5 linked regions of the Callithrix jacchus genome follow. The protein of the gene in region 5 binds, or shares a complex with, the protein of the main gene of each other region. Links are inferred from orthologs where the notes say so. Each region holds a gene or a part of one and is shown on either strand. Other genes may lie near its edges.

What was found. Proteins that work in one complex are often made in the same cells at the same time.
Region 1: MED21 (region 5) and CCNC share a complex: the UniProt entries of both Homo sapiens proteins name them as parts of the mediator complex. The link is inferred for Callithrix jacchus from reciprocal best matches to the Homo sapiens genes MED21 and CCNC.
Region 2: MED21 (region 5) and MED13 share a complex: the UniProt entries of both Homo sapiens proteins name them as parts of the mediator complex. The link is inferred for Callithrix jacchus from reciprocal best matches to the Homo sapiens genes MED21 and MED13.
Region 3: MED21 (region 5) and MED31 share a complex: the UniProt entries of both Homo sapiens proteins name them as parts of the mediator complex. The link is inferred for Callithrix jacchus from reciprocal best matches to the Homo sapiens genes MED21 and MED31.
Region 4: MED21 (region 5) and MED4 share a complex: the UniProt entries of both Homo sapiens proteins name them as parts of the mediator complex. The link is inferred for Callithrix jacchus from reciprocal best matches to the Homo sapiens genes MED21 and MED4.

What each region holds. Positions count from the first base shown.
Region 1 is NC_133505.1:105,603,707-105,608,809, reverse strand, and holds part of CCNC (cyclin-C), read left to right. Parts: intron 1-3,673; coding exon 3,674-3,780; intron 3,781-4,919; coding exon 4,920-5,004; intron 5,005-5,103. UniProt on the Homo sapiens protein: Component of the Mediator complex, a coactivator involved in regulated gene transcription of nearly all RNA polymerase II-dependent genes.
Region 2 is NC_133506.1:94,834,641-94,839,743, reverse strand, and holds part of MED13 (mediator of RNA polymerase II transcription subunit 13), read right to left. Parts: intron 5,032-5,103; coding exon 4,808-5,031; intron 2,765-4,807; coding exon 2,575-2,764; intron 1,621-2,574; coding exon 1,158-1,620; intron 1-1,157. UniProt on the Homo sapiens protein: Component of the Mediator complex, a coactivator involved in the regulated transcription of nearly all RNA polymerase II-dependent genes.
Region 3 is NC_133506.1:108,206,106-108,211,307, forward strand, and holds the end of MED31 (mediator of RNA polymerase II transcription subunit 31), read right to left. Parts: intron 1,665-5,202; coding exon 1,472-1,664; 3' UTR 1,278-1,471; downstream 1-1,277. UniProt on the Homo sapiens protein: Component of the Mediator complex, a coactivator involved in the regulated transcription of nearly all RNA polymerase II-dependent genes.
Region 4 is NC_133502.1:67,860,791-67,865,218, reverse strand, and holds the end of MED4 (mediator of RNA polymerase II transcription subunit 4), read right to left. Parts: intron 2,187-4,428; coding exon 2,014-2,186; 3' UTR 1,278-2,013; downstream 1-1,277. UniProt on the Homo sapiens protein: Component of the Mediator complex, a coactivator involved in the regulated transcription of nearly all RNA polymerase II-dependent genes.
Region 5 is NC_133510.1:44,216,716-44,222,297, forward strand, and holds the end of MED21 (mediator of RNA polymerase II transcription subunit 21), read right to left. Parts: intron 4,116-5,582; coding exon 4,001-4,115; intron 3,731-4,000; coding exon 3,630-3,730; intron 2,764-3,629; coding exon 2,587-2,763; 3' UTR 1,348-2,586; downstream 1-1,347. UniProt on the Homo sapiens protein: Component of the Mediator complex, a coactivator involved in the regulated transcription of nearly all RNA polymerase II-dependent genes.

The DNA of each region.
Region 1 (5,103 bases), on a different chromosome or scaffold from region 5:
AACCAAAGCTGAATATATTAGAAAATCAATATCCTGAATAACTGAGAGATAATAGAAATATTCTATTTAAGAATATTAAAAAGGAAACATGAAATAAACTTAAAGAAACAGAAAGAAGGACTTTAAATAGATAACACTGATGCTAACCTATTAAAAGGAAAAAAGTTTGTTTTTTTTTTTGAGACAAAGTTTCACTCTGTCCCCAGGCTGGAGTGCAGTGGCGCAATCTCATCTCACTGCAACCTCCACCTCCCAGGTTTTATCAATTCTCCTGCCTCAGCCTCCTGAGTAGCTGGGACTACAAGCTTCTGCTACCACACCCGGCTAATTTTTTTATTTTTAGTAGAGAAGAGTAAATAAACTCAGGGGTACTTTTGGGTTATCTTCACTACTTTAAATTTGAAAGCCAAAGCAAGTTAAGAATATTACCCAAGATCTATGCCTTATTTCATGGGTCAATACTTTCCATCTTTCAGGAGACTCTCCTTTTGAAATTGTTCCATTTCATACAGAAAGAAGAAAGGCTTTCTAATCCTCTTTATGAAGCCATGAAAACACCTAGAGAAAAATCTAGCAAAGGGAACACTAAAAACAGTTTCACTTTTTAATATTGATGTCAACATTGTAAATGAATTATTACCAAATGCAGTCTAATGTTACATTGAAATTATAAAACATGACAGTGGATTTTATTATAGAAATACAGTCAGTACTAAGAAATCTATTAAACATTGAAGGCATTAAAAAACTAATACAATTCAACGTTTATCCTTGACTAAAGCTCTTACTAAAACAGAAATAGGATGCTTCCTTAACATGAAAAACATGTCAAAGCATCAGCAGTGGTAAAACATTGGGATAATTAGGGTGCCTATTTAAGATTTTCCCAATATACTAGTCAATACAGTTGATACAAATGAGATATAGAAAGAATGACAAAAGAATAACAAAATTATCAATATGTGGAAATAAAATTTATGAGAAAACTCAGTTAATTGAAAAGTTATTCAAAATAATAAAAGTTTAATCAGGTGACCAGTTACAAAATGCAAAAATAAAAGCTTTTTAAAAATGAATGGGCTGGTCGTGGTGGCTCACGCCTATAATCCCAGCACTTTGGGAGGCCGAGGCGGGTGAATCACGAGGTCAAGAGATCGAGACCATCCTGGTCAACAAGGTGAAACCCCATCTCCACTAAAAATACAAAAATTAGCTGGGCATGGTGGTACACACCTGTAGTCCCAGGTACTTAGGAGGCTGAGGCAGGAGAATTGCTTTAACCCAGGAGGCACGGAGGTTGCGGTGAGCTGAGATCGTGCCATTGCATTCCAGTCTGGGTAACAACAGCGAAACTCCGTCTCAAAAAAAAAAAAAAAAAAAAAAGACTGATAGGAAAGTATAATTTACATTAGCAACGGAAAATATAAAATACAAAGGGAAAAATATGAGGAAATATACAGAAGCTGTAGGAAGAAAACTTTAAAACATTGTGGCACGTAGAGATTTCAATAGACTTTGAATTCTCGGTAAGATGTCATTTCTCCCTATGTTGATCTTTAAATGTAATTCAGTCACAAAATTTGAATGGATATTCTTTGTTAGGACTTGACATAATGCTTCTAAAGTTTAGGTCTCAGAATAACAATTGCAATAGGATAGTCAGAAAATTTCAGAAGAATAGTAGCAAGGGAGTATTTTTCATACCAGCAATTACTTACTTAAGTTTCTGTGTTTTAAAATAGCACAGCATATGAACAAGAAAAACAAAAATAGGAAATTATATATAATGATAGAACTATAAATCAGGATATACCTTAGCACATTTGGATAATCATTTGACAAAATGTTTAGCTGGATCCTTACTTTATACTCTGTACCAAAATTCCAGATGGATCATATAAATTGAAGGAAAAAAGCCCCTAAGGGTATTAGAAAACATGGGTGAATAGTTTTTTATCATTTTGGAATCAGGGAAGGACTTTTTATGCCTGACAAACATGAAAGTAAAAGACAGGTAGATTTAAGTAAGTAATTCAGCTTTCTCTATTATAAATAATTAAATACTGAGAGATATTTAAACTTGGGAGAAATTTTACAGTTATTTGACAAGCAAATGACTTATCCATACTATACAAATTTTATATCAAAAGACTCTCTTAATCATTAAAAAAATAAGTAATCACATTAGAAAAATGGTCCTATTAGAATTAACATTGTATAAAAGAAGAACTGCATTTGAACAGTGAAGATATGGAAAAGATGTTTAACCTCAAAAGTTAACTACAGGGGAAAGAAACAGTGATATACTACTTTGCCTTTAAGTTACAAAGTATTTAAAATTGGCAGTAACCAATAGGATTAAATATTTTAGGATTCACTCATAAACTGTTAATAGAAATGGAAATCAGTATAATGTTTTTGGAGGGTAAACTGACAATGTGTGTCAATAAGTTACCAGCAACACTGACCCATTAATTCGACTTCTGGGAAGTTATTTCAAATATATTATTAATCAAATGGGCAAGGAAAATTACAATGATATTTATTAAAGTATATTTGTAACAGAGAAAAAATGATAACCTATATTTCCATCAGTAAAGATTGGCTAAGTGATCCATCCATAAAGTTATGTAAAAGAATGCTGAATAACAAGTTCCTTGACATAAGACTTCCAATAAGTATTGAATGACAAGGTTCAGCATAGTTTTTTCTTTGAGTCATGTCAATTTCATATCTCCAGTTAAAAATAGTACACTCGACTAAGCAAGAGGAGGAGGCTATCAGTGTAACACATTCTGAGGCAGTTTTTAATATAATTAGATTTGTGAAATAAGGAAATTAAATGCCATAGTTACTTATGAACAGCTGAAAAACTATATACTTCAAACGTAAGCCACCATCAATTGGTGCCAAATAATTCTACCATTATCTTATATCACTAAGAAAGAATAAACATGCTGCCAAGCGGGGCATGATGGCTCACGCTTGTAATCCCTGCACTTTGGGAGGCTGAGGCAGGCGGATCCCCTGAGGTTGGGAGTTTGAGACTAGCCTGACCAACATAGAGAAACCCCCATCTCTACTAAAAAATACAAAAATAGGGGTCCAAAGGGGCTCCTGCCGGAGGTCGTGACGCTTGCGAAGGCGAGGTCATGAGTTCAAGGCTAACCGGAGCAACCTCATAAGCTCAAATTGATTGGCCAAAAAAAAAAAAAATAGCTGGGCTTGGTGGTGCACACCTGTAATCTCCGCTACTCGGGAGGCCGAGGCAGGAGAATCACTTAAACCCAGGAGACGGAGGTTGCAGTGAGTGGTGATCGTGCCATTACACTCCTGCCTGGACAAAAAGAGCGAAACTCTGTTCAAAAACAAACAAAAAAACATGCTGCCAATTACAACACAAAGGCATCACAGATTGTAAGACATATTTTGGTATCAGAGTCTTAGAATCAATGAAATATAAGTTTGTAACAGAAAGACTAAGGAGGAAGAAGGAAAAGATTAGAGCAAGTTTTTTCAGTACATATTTACATTTATTAGTGAGATATTATTCACCTAATTGACTTTAAGGTTACTTTTTGCACTTTGTGCTTCTCAGAATATGAACAACCTGTTCAATCAGAGTGTTTTCTCTGACTTTGCTTGTTGATTTTCTGTAACATGTCTTTTCTAGTTTGCAATGGATTTTGGATAAACAAGATCTGTTGAAGGAGCGCCAAAAGGATTTAAAGTTTCTCTCGGAAGAAGAATATTGGAAGTTACAAATATTTTTTACAAATGGTAAACTTTTTAAGAAATTGGTTAAAATGTTATAGTTGATTACCTCTGAATTAAAATGTTTTTGTGTGGTAATTTGTGAGCTATTTTAGTCCATACCTAACATTTTTATTTATACATGTATTTTTTTTTTTTACAACTTTTTAGTGATCTAAATAAAGATTTTTTGGTGTGAATTTTACATGTCACAGGCACTCAAGACAATTTGAAAGTATTACCTAATCTCCCTCAGGCTTTATAATAATTATTAGATGCAGTTCAAGGTTGGCTAAAGCAAAGTACTTTGACTTTGAGGATAAATGAGTCTTTGGATTGACATCCTATAGTGGACATTTCTATCTTAGAACTTTGTTTTGAAGGGAAGAAGATTTAGGGATAGGTCTTTGCTTTGTAGTAAGTCTGTCATAATTTTTTTTAACCTTCATTTCACTGTTTTGTAAACATTTCTCTGTTTTGAGGATTTATTATGGATTTTTTTTTTTCTTGGTGAACTGTATAAAGTGGTAGTATTAGCTGGGTGTGGTGGCTCACACCTGTAATCTTAGCACTTCGGGATTCATAGATGGACAGACCACTTGAGGCCAGGGGATACAAGACCAGCCCGGCCAACATAGTAAAACCCCTCTCTACTAAAGATACAAAAATTAGCTGGGCATGGTGAGGCACAAGAGTCACTTGAACCCGGGAGGTAGAGGTTGCAGTGAGCCAAGATCGTACCACTGCAGTCCAGCCTGGGCAACAGAATATCTGTCTCAAAACAACAAAAAAAGTGGTAGTATTAACAAGTTTCATAGGCATCTAATATTTTCTTTTTATATTTATTATAAAGATAATATGAAAGGCATTAAAAATATTTAGAAGATAGAGGGAAAATACTTACTCAACTTCCTTAATGCATGAATAATATTTTGCTGTGGGGCAATTTCTATTTTGTTGTTGTCGTTTATGCACTCCTATTTATTTCTTAACACATTTACAAATCCTTGTATTAGACCACTGTGGCTCATATAGAGCATGCACATGTTTTTTCCTTTGTTAAAAATTAATATAATTATGATTTAACCACATGGAAGTTACTGTTCAATGTTAATATTATAATGATCCCAGAAGATACATTTAAAATATCATTATTTTCCCTTTAGTTATCCAGGCATTAGGTGAACATCTTAAATTAAGACAACAAGTTATTGCCACTGCTACAGTATATTTCAAGAGATTCTATGCCAGGTAGGATTATTTTTATTTTATTTATTTGAACTCTTATCTAATATGGATGAACCTTAGCACAGTGTAAATGAATCATGTGTCTGCCATAGAGTTATCTTG
Region 2 (5,103 bases), on a different chromosome or scaffold from region 5:
TTCTGATTTTTTGAGATAGGGTCTCACTATGTTGACCAGGTTGGTCTTGAACTCTTGGTCTCAAGCAATCCTCCTGCCTTGGCTTCTCAAAGTGCTAGGATTACTGGCATGAGCCACTTTACCTGGTCCCATTTTTAGTTTATATACATTTATTTCATACTTCATAACTTAAATGAACAAATTTCATTCTCTGATGGGTGATTTAATTTTTTTTAAACTTCAGATCTATTCAGATGTTCAAGATGGGTAAATCAATCTGGGTAATAATTTGTTTTGACCCCTATATGATTGTACTTTTGAGCACAACTACATCCTGGGTAGCTGACAGATATAATTAAGCTCTAGCCAACCTAGCCTATAAATCAAAAGGAAAGCTCACAAAAAACCTTTGTCATAAAAGGAGAGCTGTCATAATCATTCTTGTCACTATAAATAAATTGGAATCACTGTAAAGTACTTAATGTATACTGTATCATATTACTCTCAGTTTACAGATAAGAAAACAAGCTCAGAAAATTAGAGCTTCCTCTAAGTCACAAAGCAGGTAAACGGTAGAGCAGAGCTGAGATTCAAACTTTAATAGGACTCACTATTGAACAGACTGGCTCAATAGTGACTTCTCAATCACTAGAGTGAATCGCACAGGCAAATCTACTTGACAGTTATGCCACAGAAGACTCAAATGTCATATGGTATTGGACTATACAGTTTACAAGTTCTTAATTCCCACCCTCTGATTCTAGAATTCTATGATGAAGACTTTATGAAGAATCTACATTACAATTTTATACATAAAATATTCAACACTAGGCCAGGTGTGGTGGCTCATGCCTGTAATCCCAACACTTTGGGAGGCTGAGGAAAGCAGATCGCTGAGTCCAAGGATTCCAGACCAGCCTGGGCAACAAAATAAAACCCCGTCTCTACTAAAAATACAAAAATTAGCCAGGCGTGGTGGCGCATGACTGCAATTCCAGCTACTTGGGAGGCTGAGGCAGGAGAATTGCTCGAACCTGGGAGTCAGAGGTTGCAATGAGTGGAGATCCCACCACTGTACTCTAACCTGGGTGAAAGAATGAGACTTTGTCTCAAAAAAGAAAAAAAGAAGCATCATAGTTTTTTTATATTTCTGCAAGAATCAGTATTTTTAAAGGTACCTTTCAGACACATCAGGATGTGGCTGAATGGGAAGTGAAGATGACTCTCCAGAAATCCCAGCTGTCTGTAGAGCTGATGGCTGTTGCCCTCCTAGCTGACCACTCTGAACTGTATTTGCTTGTGTAGACATGGATCCTGCAGCATTACTGTTCATACTGCCAAAGGGTGGAAATGAAGGTAGTTTATTTGATGATACTCCACTATTCAAGTTGGAGGATGATGAAGATGAAGTTGAAGCTGTAGTCAAAGTTGAATTAGCTGTGGCAACTGAAGTAGATATGGCAACACCTGAAGTCATTGTCATAGTAGTGCTCGCTGCAGATGCTAAGGTGGCAGATGGAGTATTAGCATTTCCAGTATTTGCCATCTGAGGTGGAGTAATCAAAGACTGACTTGTAGGGGCAACTAAATTTGGCTGGGAAAGTAGAGAGCTGTCCAATGGCAGAGAAGCAAGATAAGGACCTAAAGGATAAAAACAGGTAGGAAATTTAATTCTTTATTTCACTGACTTTTTTTTTTTTATTGTACTTTGTAAATAAAATAATCAAGTTGATATTTTCTTGGTAATTATAGCATCTGAATTGCTTGTTAATGGTATAATCTATACTTACTTTCTATTTTCCCTTAGAAACTGAAGAAACATATGTAAAATGGAATTTTCACTCAAAATTAAAGAAATGAAAGTTTAACAAATTCTTAGAATTTGCTAGAAAAGCTATCTAGAAATATTCATCAAACTATTCAAAGGGTTTCTAAATCACAAATCAAATAAATATTGACTACATTGGGAGCTAATAAAAATATAAAATGGTATAATGTTATTATGGGGTTCAAATTATTGGAATGTCTAATGAGATTCAATAGTTTGGTTCTGTATCTCCTTGGATTAAGTCTAAAGGAAGTCCACTGATATTTATTTCAAGAGTATTTATAAGCAATACAGTTGCACATGGGTAGAATGAAAGAAAAAAGTATAATCAGCAAGTCTTAAATAGCTGTCATTTTCTTAGCGTAACAAAGAACTATTTCTTGGTTTTGTACAGATTAACTATACATTATTTTATCTTTAAACTGTAACAAATCAACAATCTTAATGTTAATAAACCATCAGACCCTACAGAAGCAACAGAATATTTGTTTATAACCCACAATTTCTTCATACCTGATCAGATCCCTCATTAGGGATCAGCAAACTTTTTCTGCAAAGGGTCATATAATAGTATTTTTGTCTTTACAGCCACATAGACTCTATCACAACTACTAAGCTCCAATGTTGTAGCGCAAAAGCAGCCAGAGAAAATACATAAATAAATGAGGATGGTTGTGTTCCAATAAAATTTTATCTACAAAAACAGCTGGTGAACCAGGCCACACATTGCCAATGCTAGCCTTATACAGTAAATACAAACTCAATACCTAGATCGTATCTGCAGACTTGTGCATAAAGCTTGAGTTTAGAAAATGCTTCATTGTTACCATCAGCTGCCTGAGAAAACCATTCTGCTACCAACTTTTCTGATAGTTTCTTTGATGCAGTAGATCCAACTCTCATGATCCCATCTGTTAACAGTCGAGAAATAGGTCTATGTTGACCTAATCGACAGGACTACAAATATACATACAGAAAGCAGAATTAGTAAATTTTTTATAGTATTTTAGATACATATTATAAAACCAAGCATGAAAGCTATTTAAAATAAGCTTAACCATTTGCCATTCACAGTTGTGATAAAAATATCAAGGGTGTTTCTAGAAGTAGGGCAAAAAAATAAACATATCAAAGGAGAAATAGTACTATAGGTCTTTTTCATTTTTACATTAGAAATTCATTAAATTTTTTTCAAAATTAAAATATCTCTAATGAAAAAACAACTAGATAACACTAGAACCATTTGGTTTGAATAATAAAAGCTTGCAGAATGCAGAAATAAAGGAGCACAAAAATGCAGTCATTTTAGGTATACATTGACTCTAATTCATGTATTATAAATACACATATCCCTAAATCAAAGCAAAATAAAAATTGGTATATAAATATATTTATATACTCTCTCCCTCTAGTTCTATGAGCCACTGATTTTTGTTATAGGAAGCTAATGGTCTGATAAATTTGTAACATTGGATTAAGCAAATTTAGAAGACTTTTTTACTGTAAGAATTTCAAAACCTTTAATAATCTAATATGAATTATGACTCTCTAAAAGGTAATATAATATACAATGTCTCCCCAAGCCTTTGAACTTTTTTTCTGAGAGAATTTTTTTTTTTTTTTTAGGCAAAGTCTTGCTCTGTCACCTAGGCTGGAGTGCAATGGCATGATCTTGGCTCACTGCAACCTCTGCTTCCTGGGTTCAAGTGATTCTCCTGCTTCAGGCTCCCAAGTAGCTGGGATTACAGGCACCCGCTACCACACTCCACTAATTTTTATATTTTTTAGTACAGATGGGGATTCACCATATTGGTCAGACTAGTTCTGACCTCAGATGATCCACCTGCCACGGTCTCCCAAAATGCTGGGATTACAGGCATGAGCCACTGCGCCCAGCCTCTGAGAGAATTTAACCAGACTAATGTTCCGAATAACACCCTTTGGGAAATGTTTATTTATTAAAAACATACTACAGAGACCTTGTAATTATGTGGAAAATTTTATAAGGAAGCTAAACTAGCATATACTAACATTCGGAGTGTAAAATGCATCAAAATTTAAAGACTAAATTTCAAAGCCTTTGTGGGAAAAGGAGGGAATAATAAAGTAAGATTTTATGTACCATAACACTTAACAATTTACAATTATTATGCCTGGTGATGGATACGTGAGAATTATAACTTAAAAGAATAAGCAAGAATTTCAGACCTGAAATGGACCTTAGAGACAACTAGCATAGATTTTAAAAAATTTTTATTTATTTATTTATATTTAACGGAGTTTCACTCTTGTTGCCCAGGCTGAAGTGCAATGGCGTGGCCTTGGCTCACCGCAACTTCTGCCTCCGAGGTTCAAGCGATTCTCCTGACTCAGCCTCCCAAGTAGCTGGGATTATGGACATGCACCACCATGCCTGGCTAATTATGTATTTTTAGTAGAGACGGGGTTTCTCCATATTGGTCAGGCTGGTCTCAAACTCCTGACCTCAGGAGATCTGCCCATCTCGGCCTCCCAAAGTGCTGGGATTATAAGTGTGAGCCACTGTGCCTGGCCAAATTTATTTTGCATATGAGAAAAGTGAGGTCTAGTGTCACTACCTGAAATTCTAGAGAATAAAGACTAGAATTTTTATAAATGTAATTTTTTTCCTGGCTATTTACCATTGTTACCCTTTGTTTTAGAAAAGGTCACATTAAATGGGATATATATCTATATGCCCTCAATGTTTCTTCCTCCAATAGGGGTATAGCCACTCTGACCCACAACATACACATCTAACAAACTGGGTCAAACTCAGCAAAGAATGTAACTGGCTAGTATGAGAAATAAACATCTAATTTGACATCATCACTGTGTCCCAATCAACTAAATTTACCAGTATGCTGTATATATATAGCATATATATATATATATATATATATATATGCTATATATATACATATATATATCAATACAAATCATAAGGTAGTTTTAAAATGTCATCTCTTTTTAAACACCTACCTCATATATTGCAGTAAGATCTCTAAAAAAGCTTTTGGCTCCATTTAACAAGGCTTCATTCTCTGGACACAGTACAACATAGGCTATATCTCTTTGAGATCCATAGGGTTCCAGCATAAGTCTCTCCCAATAAGGAAGAGCAAATGGAGAAAGCACCAGATAATCATAATCATAACCCAACAAAAATGTGGGGATTGGCAGTGGTTCTGGGGATTCATCAGTTCCTAAATAAGAGAGATGTATTTTAAGAAACACTTAAAAACAAGACATGTCTCCTTTTTATTTAAATGTCAAAA
Region 3 (5,202 bases), on a different chromosome or scaffold from region 5:
CAATAAACTGTATACGTGCTTGGAATTCATATTAGCAATAAATGTTAAAAAAACTGGCATTTAAAACTGCTATTAAAATGCCCATGATTTCCTGATTTTAGTATCAATAAACTGTATATGTGCTTTGAATTCATATTAGCAATAAATGTTAAAAAAAAAAAAAAACTGGCATTTAAACTGCTATTAAAATGCCCATGAACCTGTAGTTTGCCTGTAATATATCTTTAGAAGTAGCAGTAAGAGCTCAAAGGAATGTATTATTGAAAGTGACAGAAATGCCTAAAAGCCCCTAAAAAGGTACAGAGGACACCTTCCAAATCTCTAAAAAGATCAGGATTTTTTAAATTCTGTGCATCTGCAAAGCAACTGGTATTTCTGAAACCCCTTCTTTGATTTTGGATTGTAGAACCTAACCTCACCACTGAAGGGAAGCACAGTACCTCTAATCCAGCCTGTTTAATTAAGGCAGTTTTGTTTCATTTATTAAAAAACAGACTCCTGAGCACTAGAGGCAGTTCGTTTTACAGCTAACTCAACATGCTTTACTTGGGATGAGGCAGGTGGCAGAGAGGGGCTAGAGAGACTATATCACCTAGTGGTGGGAAGAACTCCAACCTGGGAGTCAGTCACACTGATTCTACCACTTACTAGCTGTGTAACCATAGGCAAGTTAAGTTAGTCACCCTATCCAAACCACAGTTTTGTCTTTTATAAACAAGGTTCTGAGAATTCAAGGAAGCACTTAACATAGCACCTGGTTTGTGGTACCCCCCCAATTCAGTGTTCGCTTTCCCAAGTGAGCACAAGTATTTGAGGCTCCTCATCTTTGTTCTAAAGTCAAGAGACCAATTAGTAATTAACCACTAGTTGTTGTGCCGTGATTAGGTCAAGCGAGGTCACAGTGATTCTTAAAGCCACCCTGCAAAACATGTATACAGGTATTTCCTTTCCTGCAGAATTTAAGAACCTTTATGTAGTTCCTTCCTGGTGATTTAAACAAGTCACTGACTCCGCTACTCTCACTACATAGGTAAGAGTGGTAGAGTAGTTGATCTGAGAAACAGGTTCCAGGAGATGGCCTTGCCCTACTATATGTCAGGAAGAGCTAGCCTTAGAATTCAGTATACTTAGTGACCCACCCCTACCCCATGCCCCAATGCCTTCTTTATTTGGTCTAAAGCACCTAACTTTTCCATTATTAATCAGCTGATTATACTAAATGCTTAAAAAAGAAACACCTTAAAATCCATATGGAAATCAAAGTAGAACACTTCAGGTTTAACAGTGATAGTCTATTAACAATAAAAAGTTAGTTTGATTAAAAAGCATACTAACAGTTCTAGATGCTACCATAATAAAGCTAGATAGGAAGAGTTTTCATTTTTTTTGTCTTCACTGTACATAAGAAATACATTTTTTATATATATATATATATATATATATCTTCAGAGCCTCGTCTGTATCCAGTTTTTCATTTCCCCGATGTGTTATTTTGCTGTTGCTGCTCTGCCAAGGCTTGCTGAAGGCGCATCCGCTTCCGGGAATAGTGCTGCCAGTGTAGAATCTGCTGTTCATCAATAAATTTCGCACACTGGGCATTCACCAGCTCCTTTCGGAAGTGTTCATACTGGAGCAGCTCTAACATGTGTAAACACTGAGGGTACCTGGGTTTAAGTTTATAAGTGAATGAACAACATAATTTAAGTAGTAAATAATGCCAAGGTCTAATTCAGTTATTCTCTTAAAAATGATCTTGTAGCCTACCATTTCTATAACATTAACTTAGTACACTCTAGTAGCATAGGGTTTTTCCCCTGCATAGTCATCAAAAGTCAGTGTTCAGCAAAATTTTCAAGTGAGAAGGTTTAAGTTCAGAAAGATTAAATTAACTTGCTCAAGACTACAGAACACAGTAACTGGTAAGCAGAGTGAAAATTTAGGGACAAACCATGCTATTCCCTTCTAGTGCTTTCCAAGGTGAAGAACATGAACATATTTTAGTAATTATGTGTTTAATTGATAGTTACTGGTTTTTCCATCAATAGTGATAAAAACACAATTTCAGTTTGAAAGAGGACTATGCATATACGTTGTACTCTTGTCCACAGGGGTATACCAATTCTGAAATTAGGTATACTCTAGGATTGGACAAGTAAATATACTGTGGATATGGAGAGCCAAATTTCTGGCTACCAGAAAAGGACTTATAGACAAGTAAAGGAAAAAGGCTAGAACGAACCCTGTGTTACCGAGCTGGTATTGAAAACAACATGTACTTAGGGCTTTTAATATATAGAGACATAGACAGATATATATGTGTGTGCATGTATACACATACATACATATATAGAGTTCTTGAGCTTTGTGTACTGAGAGGGCCTAGAAGCAATGACACTGTGGTACTAATGAACACACAGTGCCCCGTTTCCAAGGAGCAGGTTTCCTTGGAGAAAAGTCTGATTCAGGGATAAGACAGGGAAAGGACAAGATGAGCCTGGAACATTACGTAATGCTAGAAGAAAAAGTGCTAAAAATTCTTGGGAGGATCAAAAGTATTCAGGAGCCAACTTGAAGGGACTCCTAATGGCCAAATCTGGAATACTCAGAGCTTGAAAATACATAATTAAAATTCACAGAATAAAAATAAGAATCCAAAAGTCCATACTAAATGGATGCAAATTTCTTTAATAAAAGAATAAATAAAAAACAAGAAAAAGTACTTCCCTACAATCGAATTCCAAACTAATAAATGGAGAATGAAAGATTTAGAAAATCACAATGAAAACTGTTTCCTCAAAAGCAAGTATCTTCAAATGATGCTAAAATTAATGGGCAAAAATATATGTAATATATTTACATAGTCTCAAAGGATTTCCCCATAAGATACATTTTAAATATACAAGGAAAAATAGTAACTTGATATGGAGAAACCTAGAAGGTACCACCCTCAACCAAGTTATCAAAATTAATATCACCAGTTGTGGAACAAATAGACTTCATGTGACTGTAGATATATGACAGATACAAAATCATTTCTGTCATAGTCATGGCAAAGAAAAGACCACTGAGATTAAAGGAGACTAAGAAAACATGACAATAAATGCAACATGCAGGCCTAGACTGGATCCTGTACTGCATACAGCACACCAGCTGGACAACTGGCAAAATCTGACCTCTGTAGATTAGGTAATAAATTCATATTAATGTTCTGATTTTTGCTGATTGTATTGTTAAACATCTGGAATATCTGGATGAAGAAAATACAAGAATTCTCTTTATTATTTTTTCAGGTATTTTGTAAGTAAAATTATTTCAAGTTGAAAATATATAAAAGCATTTAAAAGAGACAAAATACATTGAAATATAGGAAGTATGCAGATAAAGCCAAAGTTGTAGAAGTGATATGCAAATGACTAGTTTGGAAAATAGGATGCTAGAGCAATGCTTCTCAAACTTTAATGTGTGTATGAATCACTTCTTAAAATGCAGACTGACTCCTTAGGTCTGCAGTGGGGCATGAGCTCTGCATTTCTAAAAATCTCCCAAATGCAACCAATGCTACTGATCTGAACACCACACTGAATAGAGGGCTTAGTACCATGCTTCGAAGAGAGTAACTTCCAAGGCAGTAAAGGTTTGCTATCTACACACTAAAAGTACACAATTGCTCTAATTGCTGGCTGCTTATGCTAGAATGCTCTATTCACACCTGCCCTGGCTAATTCCCTTTCATGACAGCACCAGTAGTTAAAAGGACCAGGATTTAAGGTCCAGCCTGGTAGCCTTTAACAAGGTACTTAACCTCTCTAAAGTTCAGCTAGCTTCTTCAGCTGTAAAATAATGTGACAACCAAGTCTCAAATAGCATTTGGTCAATAACTAGAATTTAGACAGGCAGCGTTTATATCAGAATGTATTAGACGACAATAAAGAATCATACTCTGGATAGGCTACAAGTCAACAAGATGAAACAGAAGCAGTAGAAAAGGAAAGTTCTGCATTTGGTGTTTTAAAAAATAAACAAGATAGGGAGAACCCAACAGCATTGATGAAAGTAAGAACTGAAGGATTTCAGTTGACATTAATGCACCCAGCAAGTCAACAATGTGATCCTCTCCCCACCCCACCCCAAGAGTAATATAAACGTTAAGTTTAATTAATAGAGGTGTATGTCCACATAAAGAAAAGAAAGAACCTCTGACCCACTGTACTCTGACCACATCTGAAGGCCTGTGTTTAGTTCTTGGCTGAACTGCATAAGGTACAACTGCCAAATATCCAAAGGAGGGAACCTGAATTCATGAGAAGTCTGGGCACCATGGCACAATGGCTGAAGGGAGTTGAGAAAAAGAGACATAAGAGAGGTGTTATAGTGGCAGCTACTGGTTAGCAATGAACCAAGCCAAGTGGTAGAAAGTCTCTTCCACCAGGTGGAAAGCAGCTAGTAGTGGCAGCTGCTCTCAGCATCAGCCAGTTGTTGATTGGAAGAATTAAGATCTATGGTTGCTAAATCTTCCAGATTTTAAAGAGTTGCTGGAAATCTGCATTTATTAAATAAAACTTTCTGATCTTTAAATATTGGCAAGCATTAAAAAAAAAAACTAAAATCTTGGGCAGACTAAATAAAATGCCCAAAATGGGCTAATTTGCAATCTCTCTTGAATGTAAATATCTAAAAGGCTGTTGTCCCCAAGAGGGTATAGAATGGTTCTAGCTTAATCCAGGGACAGATTGAAGCTACAAGGAAGTATATTATATCACAATATAAGGAAGAACTTTATAACTTCTGGCTAACAATCGAATCAGCTGTCCTTGACAGAGTCACATGGGATCAATGGAAACTTCCAAACGGAGTGTAGATGACCATCTCTCAGCAACACTATGGATAAAATTAAACTTACGGATGGCTAAGGCTTCCAACACAGAGTCTGTAAATCTACATACATACAACATTTGTTGAAATATACTTTTTTAAAAGTCTTTTCTTTGGATTATTAAATGGATAAAAAGCCAGAAAAGATACAAACGGTCCTGCAGGCAACACAAGATGTATATGCTTCATGAGTCAACTGTTACTGCATACAGAAAAGTGACTTCAAGACAAATTTGAAACATTTCCTCTCAAATTTTTGTCTTAAAAAAAAAAGTTCACTACTGCTTTCTGACTACCTGCTTAAAACAAAGCAGAGGTGTGAGTTCAAGG
Region 4 (4,428 bases), on a different chromosome or scaffold from region 5:
AACAATCATTAGAGCAAACCAGTAACCAAAAAGAATGTGAAAAAATTTTGCAATCTACCCATCTGACAAAGGGCTAATATCCAGAATCTACAAAGAACGAAAACACATTTATAAGAAAAAAAAAAAAAAAAAACCCATTCAAAAGTGGGCAAAGGATATGAACAGACACTTTACAAAAGAAGATGTCTATGAGGCCAATAAACATATAAAAAATGCTCATCATCACCAGTCATTAGATGAATGCAAATCAAAAGCACATTGAGATACCATCTCATGCCAGTTAGAATGGCAATCATTAAAATATCTGGAGACAACAGATGCTGGAAAGGATGTGGAGAAATAGGAACACTTTCCATTGTTGGTGGGAGTGCAAATTAGTGCAACCATTGTGGAAGACAGTGTGGCGATTCCTCAAGGACCTAGAAATAGAAATACCATTTGACCCAGCAATCCCATTACTGGGTATATACCTAAAGAATTATAAATTTTTCTATTACAAAGACACATGCACACATATGTTCACTGTGGCACTGTTTACACTCGCAAAGACCTAGAACCAACCCAAATGTCCATCAACAATAGACTGGATAAAGAAAATGTGGCACATATATACCACAGCCATAAAAAACAATGAGTTCGTGTCCTTCATACAGACATGGATGAAACTGGAAACCATCATTCTCAGCAAACTGACACAAGAACAGAAAACCAAACACCACATTATCACTTATAGGTGGGTGTTGAACAATTAGAATATGTGGACACAGGGAGGGGAGCATCACACATTGCGGTCAGTTGGGAGGGATAGGGGAGGGACAGTGTGGGGTGGGGAGGGATAACGAGGGGAGAAATACCAGATATAGGTGATAGGGGGATGAAGGCAGCAAACCATCTTGCCATGTATGTACCTATGCAACAATCCTGCATAATCTGCACATGTACCCCAGAACCTAAAGTACAATAAAAAAAAAAAAAAGTGACTCCCTCTGGGAAACTGCAAGAAGAGGAAGGTGAAGGGAAGAAATGGTTGCTTTGCATTTAAATCTTTTTATGCAACCTATTCTTAAAATCAGACAAGACTGTGGCAAATTTTTTCAATTATTAAAAAAAATATTTCATCTAATAGGAATGTGGGCCTTTGAAAAACCTATTCATTGTACTAGGTTTCAATTTAATTAGTCACTCAAGTATTATAAAATGCAGCTGGATTTACAGAAATAATTTCCTACCTATACTGATACCATATTTAAACTTAAAAAAAAGCATAGCATACAAAGTACAAATAAAAGTAAATTTATTTATAAAAATTACAATAATTACAAACTGTACAAATTGAGACAATTTCCCATTCCTCCAACAGAAGCCAAGAGCCTTTACTGTCAAATAAGTTTTTGTCATTTTTAAATGACACACAAAAATATGATCCCTATTTAGTTATCCACTGCCAGTTTAAAAATGCTTTTCTAAATAATTCCAGGAAGCCTATGAGTGATACATACATGGATCATTTCCCTCAACTCTATTTCCTTTGTGCTTTACTGTATTCATTAAATGTTTGATATGTTGTATTACCTTTGAAATCAGAAAAAAGATACATTGTCTAAAACTCATACATCAAGAAATAGTTGTATAAGCTTATTACTTAAACATAGAGGTTAACCACCAGAAATTAAAAGTGGTTAAAAGTGACTTCTGGGAAACTGCAAGAAGAGGAAGGTGACAAATCCAGCACAACTGGAATAGAACATGGTAAATAGCACTTAGCAACTGCTTTTTCTTTTCAACAGTAAATTTTGACTATTCCCCTAAATATCTTCCGAGGGGCTTAACACTAAAACTATAATCTTTGGCCTCAAAAAGAAAGCTCATTTTGACTTCTAATGGCTGCACAATTCTACCAAAGCCAGTGTTTACCTGGCTATTCTTTGCCATCTGTAGTTTATCTTCCCCTGCTACTGTTAAAGAAACAGAATTTGACACTATTCAATTCTGTATATTGTCTTTTACAGTTTTTTAATCAGACTCACTACTACTGCTTGAGGAGTCCGTTGACATAATCTCTACATCGTCTTCATTTTCTTTATTATGCCCAGGAGGTTCCAACAAAAAGTCACTACTATGATTTGGTGGTAACATATTCATTGCCATGTCATTTGACTGCCATGGATACTGAGGAGCAAGGACATCTGGAAGAAAAAAGGAAGCACAGATAAGAACAGCTCTATTCGTAATTAATCTAGTACTAACTTTTCCCTTTATACAATTTGAAGTACATATATTTTTTAATGTTACTTTTTTCTCTTCTTTTTTTGAGACAGGATCACCCAGGCTCGAGTGAAATGGCATGAACACAGCTTACTGTACCCCTAACCTAGGCTCAAGAAGTCCTCCTGCCTCAGCCTCCTGAGTAGCTGGGCTATAGGTACGTGCCACCATGTTTGGCTACTTTTTAAAGTTTTTGTAGCGATGAGGTCTCACTATGTTACCCAGGCTGGTCTCCAACTCCTGCGCTCAAGCTATCCTCCTACCTCAGCCTCCCAAAGTGTTGGGATTACAGGCATAAGCTATTGTGCCAATTATTTTAAGACTAGAAAAAAAAATACACATTTGGCCAAATTAGTAAAAATCAAATTCATCAAGATAAAGTATCATATTTTAGCAATTGGGAACCTTTTTTTAAAATCATACTACTCTGTAAGAAATTATTCAAATAGTCAGTTGACATGATTTTTCTTTTGTAAGACATTTACAATTACAAATGTTTCCTTTATCTGTGTATCCATTATATGAATATATAATACATAATTATGTATACTAGGTTATGTAGATTATTCTACATATTATAAACAGGTAATAGGTACTTCATTTAGTATTATTATACTAGGTTTGAATGATTTCTTAATAGAGGAATTGCTATTGTAAATGGCTCTCATCAAAGAGAGGCTGATTTCCAACATATGCATATAAAATACCTTACAAAAAAGTGCCCAATTCACATTAAAAGTCTGTATTTCTGAAGCAAAGAAACAGAGCACATAAACAGGTATAGTTCAAGACTCAAAGAAAGATTTTTAAGACTCAAAGGCAGATTTTTAAATTGTCAAAACAAAGTTACGGTGTTAACTAGAAAGGCATGCCAGTTAGCTTCAAATCTACCCTTTTCTCTGGCCCCTGAAACCATTTCTCCTTTGCCAGCTGCCACAATTAAGTTTTGTCAGTAGAGGGCACAGGTGAGACTCCACAGGCAAATAAGCTTGACTTCCTGGATCGGGTGTTTTTTTCCTTTACTGCTGTGATGCCTGGTTGGTGTGCAGAACATTAAGAGGTATTCATCACAGCAACTTTCAGTGGCGTCCCTAAAGGTGGTTTCCTAGCAGGTTTCACCACAATCCCAAAGGGCAGCTTCCCAGCAAGTCTCCCTGGAACCCTAGTGGGTAAGTTCCTGCTTGCCAGCTCTGGCCTCTGATGCCTCATCTAACTTCTCTGCCAGAGTGGGCCACAACTACACTACACCCTCTCCAATGACAGCACCATGATTTGAATAGCTTTGGGATGGGGCTGGGGAGGACCATTTTTAGGTCTGTCCCTTCCTTGGTCCAAAATGTAGCAGTGACTCCCCATACCTGTTTTTCCTGTACTTCCAAGAAATGAGAAACAAGAGATGATATCCAAAGATATCACAGTGAATTCCCCAGTTTGTATTTTAGGTAGGTAACAGAAATGATGCATACAAAACATTATTAATGACATAGGAACAGCCTTATGATGTAACATTAAGCAAATAATGTACAGGGAAAAAAGAAAACAAGCTAAATATTTAAAGTGACTGCCTCAGAAAGGGCAGGGTTTTTTTCCTTTTTTAAATGCCTTTTTCTACTTCCCAAATGTTCTACCACATCAAAACAAAGTCACCTACAAACTATAAAAGATGAGGACTAATATAAAATATATATAAAAACAGCACAAACCTATGAAAAACTTGAGGAAAACTGAAGCTCAGAATGAACTGGGTCTCACAGAAATACTATTTTATGAAGTTTTAAAAGTTTATAAAAAGCTATTGTTATTTTGTTAACTTAGGGGTTGTTCAGGAGTGTGTTCGCTTTATTCTGTAAACTATCTTACTCTGTTTACATAGCATGTTTCACAATGATAAAGAAGCTATGTTTAGAGCAATAATTTAAAAACAAAAGCCAAATGCTTGAGGAAGACAGTGTAATATTTACAAATAAGAGAGGTAGCTTGCTCTAATTTCATACTTCCCTCGAGGAGAATCTTTAGAGAGCAGAATAAACTGGCAAATAATCTAGCTACTACAGTGAACTGGGTCTGAGAGCCGAGTACATTGGCTCACACCTGCAATTCCAGCACTTTGGGAGGCCGAGGCGGGCGATCACTTGGGGTTAGGAGTTTGAGATTAGCCTGGCC
Region 5 (5,582 bases):
AATGCCAGAGTATCCTTCCTTGGTTTACAGAGAATAGTATCAAGGACATAGAAATTCTGGGGTGAAATTATTATACATAACTTACTCACATCCTATCTTCTCTGGAAAGATCCAGAGGACACTCTCTTCATTAGGCTTTTTAAAAAGTCATTGGTGAGGGGAGATACTATCATTCCTGAAAGGCTCTACTGGCTATTATCATAGGTTAAGAATGATAGTAAAAGATACTCCCACTGAAATTGACTCCTGGGCATGGTGGCTCATGCTTGTAATCTCAGCAGTTTGGGAGGCTGAGGCAGGCAGATCACCTGAGGTCGAGCTTTCGAGATCAGCCTGACCAATGTGGAGAACACCATCTCTACTTAAAATACAAAATTAGTGGGGTGTGGTGGCGCATACCTGTAATCCCAGCTACTCGGGAGGCTGAGGCAGGAGAATCGCTTGAACCCAGGAGGCGGGGTTTGCAGTGAGCCAAGATCACACCACTGCACTCCAGCCTGAACAAGAGCAAAACTCCATCTCAAAAAAAAGAAACTGGTTCCTTAAATTCAATGGAGATTATGGGAGTTAGGATGGTTAAGGCACAAGTGAAAGGATTTAGCATCCAGAAACAGAGATTGGTTACGATAATTGACAGCAGAGCAAGTAGTAATCAAAATGGTTTCACTTACAGACATCTTTAGGGCTAGTTAACTGAACTGGTGCCCCTAGAACTGAAATACAGAAGCAGGTTATTAAACTCTTCTTAATTTACATATGAAGAAACCAAATTATAGGTCTAATGAATAAAAGTCTTTCCTTATAAGAGCCACAGCTTCTTATCCAGTTTTGAGATTTAAATCAGCTTAGATCATTAACATTTAATTATCAATGTATTAATAAAATAAAATTTAGGGTTACTATTTTATTATGTTTTATTCTGAGAGGTTGTGAAATTTTTTGAGACGGAGTTTCGCTCATTACCCAGGCTGGAGTGCAATGGCTCGATCTCGGCTCACCACAACCTCTGCCTCCTGGGTTCAGGCAATTCTCCTGCCTCAGCCTCCTGAGTAGCTGGGACTATAGGCGCACGCCACCATGCCCAGCTAATTTTTTGTATTTTTAGTAGAGACAGGGTTTCACCTTGTTGACCAGGATGGTCTAGATCTCTTGACCTCCTGATTCACGCGCCTCAGCCTCCCAAAGTCCTGGGATTATAGGCATGAGCCACCATGCCCGGCCTGACATTTTCTATTTGTACCTTCTTGACTCCTTTATAACACTTAAGTACTTTGAAAATCAGTTTTCTGATCAAATCTTCTCTCCTCCAAAAACTACAATGAAGAGTACAGATTTATGGACAATAACTGTGATAGCAAAATGTTTTTAATAAACATCAATGAAAATACAGTTAAAAGTTCAAAAACTTTCTGTGACAAGCCAATAAACTGTTACGAATTTTATAGCTAACACTGGTGTTCCTGAAATTTGAAACACAGTACTTTTCAAGAACTGTGGAAAAGCTTGATTATGACAAAAATAACAGGCAGTGTTGTATTTTTGGTTTCTCTGGAAACTTAAACTCTGAATAGCAAGATTACAGCAAATGTAGCTCAGGATATTCTGAAAAATATAGCCCAAGGAAATGGCCAGTTAAAATGTGAATACATTTTAATTCCACCTTTCCAGTGGAGAAAATCACTAGACTAAAAGAGATCCAAGGGTTGGATGAGTAACCATAGTTGAAAATGCTGATACAAATGTTAGCAATAATAACTTGAGGTGAAATAGAGCCCAGTAACTGATGTATTGAAAGTATGTTCGGGTCTGACTAGAATACAGCAATAAAAGTTGAGAGATTAATAAAGGGCAAAAGAAAGAAACTTTAGATAAATAAAGAGACTGAGAAAGAACTGACGATTCAAAAACATACTTCACTGTGATGCAAGCAAATTAAGGAGAAGGATGAAAAATACAAGGTGAATTCTTTCACAATAGCAGGAAAATTCTGACAGAGGATTTCTTGGTAGAATGTGTAGATGAACTAGAACAGGTATGAAGTTCTGAAAGAAGAAACATTTGCATAAATGTGACTTACTTATCCAGCCACACTAACTCTATTTAAAAGCAATACAATTTCCAAAACTTTCTTGCTCAAAGCTCAAATTTACACAATGCCACCTCTAAGAGGCAGGATGCTAGCCTAAACTAAAATGTCCCTTATGTCTGTTCTTACTACCTTCTTCTCTGGCTTGAGAAATGTTTTGATTTGTAAAAGTACTGGCCAAGACAACAAAATAAAGACATGAATCATGTCACAATAGAATTTTATATATGTTTACTTATGTTTATTAATGCATCATCTGCCTTAATAATTTCAGTTAAAAAATGATGGTATGACGGTTTAAAGCTGGTTCAATCATTATTTTATAAGCTTATTTATCACGAGTGAAAACAGAAGACTATTAAAAATAGCTAAAAAGGGAACATGTGTCATAGTGTTGAATGCTTCTGTAACTGTTGGTAAGGCTTGTTATCTAAGTCTGATGCAGAATTCTTAATGGCACTGAAACAGTTCTTTTCTCAGCCACATGGTATCCACTGGTGCTACGAGTCTGGAATAGACTGGCTATGGGTACCACTTCTTGTCTTCAGCTGTGACTGTGCAATATCAGCAAGCGCACTTTGTATCTTTTCCAGAAGCATGTCTCCTCGATAAACAACATCTTCCAGACATGTAGCAGCTTCATGGTTTTCTTCTTCTAGCTTATATAAGCTAGCAGCCTTTATAAGACAGAAATTTTGAAATCTTTAGAGTTAACGAGGGAAGCTGTCACAGAGGTACTTATTTTTAAATCTGGATGACTTTGCAATTATTGTGTTTTTCAGCAAAGAAATTCTAAAAATCAGATAACTTCTAAGAATTTTCCTCATTTGAATTATTAAAAAGAATGAATTTTCAATTAGAAATCTCTAGATATCTGTAAGTGACTCCCTTCCACACTACATTTGGGCACCATTGTTCTACTCCACATCTAGAATGCCACCCTCCTCTCATTCTTCACTAGGAAAAGAGACACAATTGAGGAAATAAGAGGTTTCCTTATAATGGAAAATTGAATATTATAACAAAAGGTGCTATGATTTGAATGTGTCCCCTCCAAAATTCATACGTTATGTGTCCCCTCCAAAATTCATACGTTAAAATCTAATCCCCAATGTGAAGGTATTAAGAAGGAAAGGGCCTTTAAGAGGATATTAAGTCATGAAGGCAAAGCTCTCATAGAATTAGTGCCCTCATAAAATGGCTTGAGGTTGAAGAGGGAATTCTTGCTCTTTTGTCCTTCTGCCTTCTGCCATGTGAGGAAATAGAAAGAAGGCCCTCAACATGGCCTTAAACATGGCCCTAAACATAGCACTGTGTTAAATAAAAATGTCTTACTCATGCACAATGAGTAATAAATGTCTTGATCTTGGACCTCCCAGCCTACAGAAACTGTGAGAAAATAAATTTCTGTTCTTTATAAATTATTGTCTCAGGTATTCTGTTACAGCAGCACAAATGGACACAGACAAAAGGTATTAAACCTTGCTCCTTTAATTCAAAATTCTCTATTACTGGTAAAATTCTCAAAGGAATAAAGACTTACCTGTAAAGCAGCTGTAGACTCTTCACTGGGTAGGGAATCTATCAAAACATCAATGTCTTTTGCTGTTCGTGCAATCAGTGCTGCAAAAAGCTGGGCATACTCTAGAGAAAGATAATGCTAGATCAGGTCATTAGAAAACCTCAAGTTTTCAGAACAAATTTTAAGTTAGTGAAACTGGAAACTTCACATAGCTTTTTCTGCACTAGGATTCTAATGATTAAAATATACACAAATCCTATTACACATTTAGCTCAAATTGGGAATTAAGCATAATTTTTGGAAACAAAATAAGCCGAATTGCTCAATAAATCTAATTTGAAAGGATTACAATAAATGTGAGAGTCAAAGAGAAGCTAAGAAAACCAGTTTACCTTCTGTAGGATTAGCTGGCTGGTCTTTGTTAATTGCTGTCTGAATATTACTAAAAGACGCAGGAGGACCACACTGCTGCAATACTCCAATGGCATTACAAAACTGATCTGCAAGCTTAGGCCAAAGAAAACATGTCAAGGTTAGGAAGGACTTATCAATTTTAAGGACTTTATTGATAACAGCAACAACAATAAATTTCTTTAATCATAATCTCTGAGTAAGGGAATAAAACAGAAAGGAATAATTGCTGATAAAATAAGCCAGTTACTAATAACGTTAATTAAACATTTTAATTCTGCAAAGAAACTAAGTTTGGTATCAACCCAGTTGAAACAGTTGAAATAAAAATAATATTTCTTTTCTTTTGATAGTAAAATGGTAAGAGAACACTAGCCAATATTTATTATAAGCCAAAAGTAAAGACTTTTGGGGAACAGTGATGGAAAAGAGCAGTGATGGAAATCTGACTTGCAAATATCTACCTATGGCATTGCGTCAAATGAAAATTTATTATTCATGTACAAAGTATATAATTCCTTTTCTGAAACTGGAGTAGTTACAAGCATAAAGAAATAGTGGGGAAAAGGCTGCTCAGAAAAGCACCTTAAGTAATCAGAAACATATTTGTTCAAGACTCAAGTTTTAAACTCTTGTGCGCTAAAAGTACTCCTTAAGTACTTCTAAAGATTGAGAACAGCAATTCCTTATCATCTCCAAATTAAAAACGCCTATCCTCCCCACCAATTTCTCTCACCTAGTCTTGACCTCTCAAACCTCCTATTTCTAATAAGCATTTGCACTGGGTTTCTCTGCCATTGTTCAATTACAGAACTCAAAGGCAACTGTTTTCTCTGTTTAATTTGTATTGACAGTCTCTAAGTCAACCAGTCTAACCACAGATTCTTACTTTCCTTTGATCTTCAAATTCTACTAATACTTCTAATCTTTCTCTTTTCCTCTGTCTTGTTTTCCACTACTCCTTCATATTTACCTAGTTATAAAGTCACTCATGACTAAATGGCTTTGTCCAGGTTTTGCTAATTGTAATGGAGCAATAAGCGCTCAGCTGCTATACAAGTCTAGATCCTAATCCTAGTTCTATTAACTCAAGTAGCATTTATCATTTTTAAATTGGATACATTCTCATATTACAACATTGTTGTGAGGAACAGACAAGACACAAAAATATTCAACACAGTGGTTATCTGTTCCATTCTTCAAAAGCTCTTAAGATCCATTTAGTCAACAAAAATTTATGGAAAATAACTATGACAAGTATTGTATATAAACACATAGTAAATGAGACATAGCTTCTGCACTCAGTTTTCAGAGGGTAGAACAACTGTTAAAAGTTATACAAATAATTAATTATGATTAGAATAAATGCTTAAGAAGATTCTCCCTATTTTGGTTCACATCACTCCATATTCCAATTTACTTCAGAACCTGCAGTTGAAAACACTCAATTCATTGTAACTCCCTAATCACAAACTGTTTTTCCATCACTTAAATGTCTCCTGAATATACATTTTTTAACCTCCTGAAGGAGTATCTCTTTGAAAACATGATCGCGCTTATATA